Drosophila melanogaster: one gene and its partner. The protein of the gene in region 1 interacts with the protein of each later gene in a pairwise test. Each region holds a gene or a part of one and is shown in the gene's direction. Other genes may lie near its edges. The genes, in order: CG43054 and CG14401.

Evidence for each region.
Region 2: the proteins of CG43054 (region 1) and CG14401 interact in a two-hybrid assay, tested with the Drosophila melanogaster proteins (one large-scale study listed by BioGRID).

Annotation. Positions count from the first base shown.
Region 1 is NT_033779.5:17,625,622-17,628,984, forward strand, and holds CG43054 (uncharacterized protein), read left to right. Parts: upstream 1-2,237; 5' UTR 2,238-2,279; coding exon 2,280-2,690; 3' UTR 2,691-2,768; downstream 2,769-3,363. Other genes in the region: CG15147 (uncharacterized protein), read right to left, coding at 157-597.
Region 2 is NT_033779.5:20,868,288-20,872,219, forward strand, and holds CG14401 (uncharacterized protein), read left to right. Parts: upstream 1-1,566; 5' UTR 1,567-1,846; coding exon 1,847-2,060; intron 2,061-2,314; coding exon 2,315-2,473; coding exon of another isoform or gene 2,474-2,485; intron 2,486-2,544; coding exon 2,545-2,768; 3' UTR 2,769-3,185; downstream 3,186-3,932. Other genes in the region: CG31675 (uncharacterized protein), read left to right, coding at 64-237, 830-1,050.

The DNA of each region.
Region 1 (3,363 bases):
TTTCGGTGGTCTTTTGTCTTTTACATTAACTTTAATTTTACTTTAGATTTGGGCTTAAAGGGCTATTTTAAGCTATGACTGCTTTGTTTGCTGAATTAAAATGAATAATACAATTCAAGATCTTGCAAGTGTGTTGGTTTATTATTGTAATATTTACTAGGTATTATTTAACACATTTTTTATAGTCCTCGTCCTTGGTCGACTGCCTTCGTTGTGCCGCAAATTGGTTAGCATCCGCCGATGTGATTCCTTGTGCGGATCCCTCAGTTTGAGGGCGAAACAAACTGGGGTGAGAATGTCGTCCACATGGGGAACCTTCGATGCACTGGGCATCCGCCTTAGTCCAGTCCATACACTTTGACGGGCCGTGGAATCATCGGTTGGTTGCGGAGCAATAGCAACCTCAAAGGATCCATCTTCGGGCGGGCCTTTGTCGTTGATCCTTAGCTGGAGCTTAACCCTTGGCTGAATGGCCCTCAGAGCCTCCGCCAGCGAAGAATGGAGGTGCAGGGCTCGCTTGCGATAAGTTTGACGATAACGGCAGTGGTCAATGTAGAGCACCGGCTGGAGTGGATCCAGTGGCCTTTTGTCGGGCATCTCTGGGAGGCAGATGGACACAGGTAAACAGGTGGAAATCTTGGGCGGACCACAGACCACGGACTTCAGCGAGCAGCAGGCATGGCAGGATGTGGGAGACAATCCCGGTCGAGGAGCTGAATCTGGGGTTCAGAGGTTTGACACAATTCTCCTGGGCAGCTTCAAGCCTCCAGCTTATCGGCGACCAGATAACCTGGCCGATGGAGGATATGGGGCGCCCTCATAAATCAAATAAAAGAGCGTATCTGACAAATAAATCTTCGAGGACGAAGCAGGCTCGCAAAAAGAACATGCAAATGCGCATGAAATATGCAAAAGCCGCAAGCCTTAAAATAAATACAAAAATTAAATCAACCAACAGAGCTATACAGTGGTCTTTAGATAGAGGTAACAAGACACGAAATGAGATATACAAAGTACATAAGAGTTATTTCCGATCAAAAGTGAAAGCTATATTCATACAGAATGACAAAAAGTGGGCATTCATCTATGTACGAGTATCATGCAATTTGCGAGAATGTGTTTCAAGAGAAAGTGCATTCTATGGCAAATGCAATGTGATGAGTAATTAATTTGAAAAGTGGACAAAAAATCCGTAATTTTCTAGTAATTACTGTACGTCTAGTATATTGTCCAGTTTTTGCTGACATTTTGACCTGCGGCGACGTGAAAAAAAGAAAATAAAGAAGATTTTTTCTGCAAAATTTACCAGGCTAAAGAGTAAAGAGCAGAGCATGCCAAACGCACAGGCACGGCCAAATAGAATACAGCGCACAAAAAGGAAGCCAAATGAAAAAAGGAAAATGTATATTTTAATAAACCGAACACAAAGCAGCGTAGGAAAAGTCGAGCGCCTCATTTCCCAGCACCACCCACTGAGCCACAGCCACCGAGTGTCGAGCCAGCGGCAAGGTTAGCCAGTTCATTCATTCGGTCTTATTCACAGTTATTGAAAGTAGAGCAGCGCCGCTGCTTCTCGAATAATATGGAAATAAATAAATGTAAGTCCCGGCCACATGATAATAACCAAGGGTTAGAGGTCGGAACGTGAGCCACCGACCCACAGCCGATGACAGTTGACAGACGACGAACACGACGACTACGACTTGAATCCAAATTCGAATCCCGCCGCAAATCCCTGGGAAAATATATTCACCATGTCTTGGGGTTTGGGGTCTTGGATACGGCTCTTCTGCTCCCTCTGATTGGATCAACATACTTAGTTTGTGTTGGCAAAATACCCAACAAATAGTCATGGGAATGCCCTCGACTTTCGCTTTAAGTTGCTCAGGTAGTTTATCGCAAACATTTGCCTTCGCCTTTCAATTTTGGGCTTAGTGAATGTCAAGAAATTTAAAACTCAAGATTTATGGGAGCTTACTCGAATTCTATTTCTAAAGGGGTCAAATGGTATTACATAAAAAAGGCTTAGTATAAAAAAGATTAAGATTGGATGCATATTGGTATGTATTATATTAAAAAAAGGCTTACTATTAAAAGGATTAAGATTGGGTGCATATTAGTATGTATGCATGTTTTTATGGATTCAGCATCAGTTAAGTCAAAGCTATTACCACTCAGATAAATAAAAAAAAAAATAACAAAGCACCAATTGTCACTGATAAATTCATCGACATTGGAAATCAAATTTATTTTTGTACTTCTAAAAATACTGAGACGAAATGAATTGGTTCAATAATATATGCGAGGAAAGTCGCTTAAAGTTTTTTCCCAATCTTCAAACAGTCAAAGCTAAGCGTAAATACGAAATTGGCCTGATGAGCGCAGATGAGTGCTATAGTTTCATAAAGAAAAACCTGAAGTCCAGAAATGTTGTAGAAGAAGAAATGTTGTGGAAAGTCCCCATAATTCTTGTGTGTATCGGCTGCATAATAGTCATACTATTTGCATTTTGTTTCGCATTTCAGTGTGTGATAACAAAGGTAAAGACCGCCAAAGTGCCAAAGCGTTTCGATTTCGACATTTGTGAAGCTGAAAAACCAAAAGCCCAACCAATCCACAAGGCCAGCCAAATTGATCACCCAAAGAAAGGAACAAATTGCTGTACTTGTTTAAAATCAAATCTACTTTGAAGTTGTGTTAACTGAATTTTCTATATATATGTATATAAAAATTATAATTATAATTATATATGAAGTCTAGTTATATGCAAGAAATATGTTTTTTCTTTTTTAAATCAAAATGTAATTTCTTCTGACTAGAATTCATTAAATATTTCCTTTATTGTGATTAATTTACCTGGCAAGTCATCGATAAATTTCTTATATTTTCAGCTGTCACACTCATTATGATAATTGCTGCCCCTTTGGCCAGGACGCCCAAAGTGAGCAACTTTCCGCTCGTCAGCTGAACTTATAGATGGCCGAGTAATCTGGCCAGTGGCCTCGCCCCATTTGTCAATGCTCGTGGTGGTGCAACTCCTGCAATTGCCACAGGGCTGTGGCATGGCCTTCAACCTTCAGCTTTACTTATTCATTTTCGGCTGGGATTTTCTTTGGCCCCTGCTTTTTTCCAGCTTGCCACAAATTGGCCAATGCGTTTGTTCGGGCAGCCAGAAGTTGCCGGGGATTAAAAAACGCTTTGCATGCCAGCGGCAAAAAGATTGGGCGTAGAAGGGGGCGGGAATTGAACTAGGGCGGTGTGGCAAGTGAAATGCGTATAAGAATTTGTGAAAATTATTTTCGCCGCACGGCTGGCCGAGGCTTGATTAAATTTCTGAACAAACGAGTCCGGCGGGCATAAAAC
Region 2 (3,932 bases), 3.2 Mb from region 1:
GCCTGATCTCATTTCTGCCATAAATAAGACGCGTCTCTGGTCTTCCCATCCCAATGCCACTAGCTTACGCCATCAAGTGCTATGCCTGCGAATCCGTCTACGAGGCTAGTTGCGGCGACGACTTCGAAGTCGAGAACCATTTTAAATACGACTGCGCCTTCATTGCTCCTCCGCGATTCCTGGAGAACGATCTGCTCAGCGTGAATGCCACGGCCTGTTTGAAACGGGTATTCAAGGGTGAGTTTAAACGAATATGTTTCTCAAAACACGTTCCTACGGATTTGAAGCCTTGCTAGGATAGTAACTTTAATAGTTATGAATCAATAGGTATAGTAAAAAGAAAAGAAAGTTTGAAATATAAGATTAAAAAGTGGATATATCGTAATTCACCAAAAATGTATCTATCCACCAGATATTTTTTTAAAGTAATTGTTCATTAATTACAAATACAGTCCGATTAGCAGCGGACAAAAAAAGTGTGTTCCGAAAGGTAAATGTCTGTATACTCATTAAACATTCGCAATGTTGTCCGTCCGAGATTTGTATTTACTCTTCAGATAATAATTTCTTTAATGATTTGTGACGCAAATCAAAACAAATAAAATTAATTATGTGAAACAGTCATACATACATTCATAGACATACGTGCATATACGGACAGCTGTGACCTTATTTCAGAAGAATCTCGTAGACTTTCCAACAATCTCTTGATATTTTGGACAATACGTACACATTTCGTATAAGCCCATTAAAGACGGACAATAAAAAATGTGTTTATTTACGATAAGTCAGCCCGAAAGTAGACTAACCCAATGTTTTGCCTCTGCAGAAAACGGCGTGCGTAAGATCGTCAGAGGCTGCTACTTCGGCGAGGTAAATGCCACCGATGTGTGGTGCAAAATGGACCCCACCCTGTCGGCGGTGCAGAACTCAAGTTGTCATGTGTGCGACAGCGAGAACTACTGCAACGGATCGGAAAATCATCCAGTGGATAAATGGAAAATCTTCGGCAGTCTGGTCTTGTTTCTCTTGGCAACTCAACTACTCTGAGGCGACAGGAGACGAAGTGGAAATGTGGAAATGTGGAGCGTGAAATGAACATTAAAAGGCACAGTAGCTTAAGTAAACCTAGTTCAATTTAGATGTATTCCCAAGGCCCAGGACTATCAATTAGTAAAGCCCACATTAGTAGAGCACACCATCCACAAAACCGTTTAGCCAAATCTGCCCGGCCCACTGTATTAATGGCTAATCAACGCCGAACATGGCGTATGAGCAACATCAGCACACCGAAATGAGCCGAAAAGCTGGCAAACAAATTTCGAACGATCCAAATACAAACTAATAAAAACTAATTTTACACAGAATGCCAAATTGTTTATTTGTTCAAATGCCACTAATGAACCTTGCCTGAAATAAATGGATTGGCGAGGAAAGGGCAAAGGGAATGGCAGGGCAGGGTAGGGCAAGGCAGAGCACGATGTCAACACGCATTGGCCAGGGAAAAGCCAACGATGGAGAAGTGAAAATGTGAAAAAATCTGTTATGAAAATCAAATTCACATTCTGAATGCGATTGTTCGCACGTTCAGTTCAGTTTCTGTTTAGTTCAGTCGCGTGTGTGCATCGCTTCGAGTCGGTGGTCGGTGGTCGGTGGTCGGTGGTCGTTGGTCGGCGGCTTGTGGCTATATAGCGCATCTATCATGTGATTAAAATCGGTCCGGCAACCGAGAAGACAACATCTGTATTCGCGCACGTATCGGCATCGCCAAGCTATAGCTATAGCCATACTGACTCACCGCGACCGCCGGACGACAGTGGAATCAACTGTTTTCGGGGGCGGTACGATGGCGATGATGGCAGCGCTTGCCTCGCTCTTTCTGCTCGTCACGCTGGCCAGCTCAGGTGAGATTCTCGATTCGCGCCCGCCACTCATCACATTCCTGCCCCGAAATTGTAGTTCATATTTTGAAATATCTCAGAAGCAGAAGACTGTCAACACGATTTATTGCGAATCAGTGAATTTAGGGTTTTACCGACTGTTTTGCGGGAAACTGTTCAGTAAAGAAAAACATATAAACAGCTTTCTTTGTTTATTTCATTGTTTACGTATAGAGTCTAAAAAGTTCAAGAATTATATTACAAATTTTAATTAACTTACATCTGAAAAGAAATTAACGTTTTGGAACATTAAGAATGGTTTTAAAGCTAATTGTTTACTTTAAGATAAAGATAAGGTCTACCAAAATGCTCATCCATTGTTTTCCTTTCTGTGCACTCTCGTGGACACACATTTTTACGGATGTCGTCATCAGCCCGTGCCATTACCTGCTACGAATGTGATTCCGTCAATAATCCAGGGTGTGGGGAGCGATTTGTGGGCGATGACATATCCACGACGGATTGCGATGTGGTGGCGAACATGCGATCCCTGGGAGCGGAGGCCACTTGCCTTACCAAGTACCATGAGGGAAGTGAGTATACGAGTATGGTTTCTGGAAAATATGTCAAGGAAATCCCTTATAAAATGACTCACTTTTCGCAGTGCCAGGAGACACGCGCTTCGTGAGGCGCTCCTGTTACTTTGGCGATGCCTCCCCAATAGGCGTCAGTTGCGACGATGGACCAGATCCTGTGGTGCCCTTTATGAACTTCCTCGGCTGCACACTGTGCGATACGGATTTGTGCAACGCAGCCGCTGGATTATCCACACTACCCTTGGTCATTGCCCTTTCGATACTCGGACTGCTTGTCCTACTGGCGACCTAAGGAAGATGAGTCGCGTGGAACGGCGGCGGTCGTATTTCAATGTTTCCTATTAAAAGTAATATACTCCAGTATTGTATAAAAGATTGTTGTTTTCTTGGTCGACTAACTAACATGACTTCTTATACTCATGCAAAGGGCGCAGAACAAGAACGACCCAAAGTTTATCCTTATATTCTTAATTTTCTAAGGCAAATGGCTTAAGTTATAAAAAGCCTACTGAATATGTAATAAATTTAACTTAAAGCCCCTAGAAGAATGAAATAGAAGCAAATATTTTTTAATTTTTATTTTATTTGATTTTCTTTCCATTGTTTTTATACATCCACTAAAATGATTTAACATACATATATATTTATATAATTATACTTGTTTGATTTAATATAATTTATTGAATAAAATTTACTCGTTTCCTACTCTACTAGCGTGTGTATGTAAGTATGTGTATGTGTGTATTGCAATTAGGATCATTAATTACAAAATATTCATAAAATAAATTAAAATAACACTTTCAAATCGATACACACAATTTCTGTTTCAATATCTAGTCCATTGATTTCTTGATCGTCAAACAATTCTAGTTTTACATTTATTTCCAGTTTATAGCATAAATTATTTTATGTAGGCAAACAGATAACATCTTTGCTTATTATCTTAATGGGTTTAGCTGCGGATTATATTCATAACACTTCTGGGCTACACATAAATAACATTCAAATATAAATATATGGATATTTATCAAGATATTGTATATAAACTACACATTGAGAACAATTCAGATAGAAAACAATTTATGTACAAAAGATTGTGTTTGTTTTTGCTTCACCAATACTGTCCATGCTGGCGTTGTCCGGCGGAATCTCTACGATCCCAGCGAGGACCACTGCCGCGTCAATGCCACAAACAATCGTCGTCCATCTTTCCGCGTCTTAAAGTCTATCAACAATTCATATCATCAGCGTGTAAGCATTAGTCAACCAAATATAGTAAAACTTATTGTTTCAACACGATTCACAGTCAGAAACAAATAACAAACAGATTTGCATTGCATGGATCAACTTGTTCAACTTGTTTTGTAGTTGGGTATATAATGTAGTTCGTTTATATAATGCTGCGTGCGTACACATATACATTGAATCATAGTAACAACAACACACAGAGTTTGTT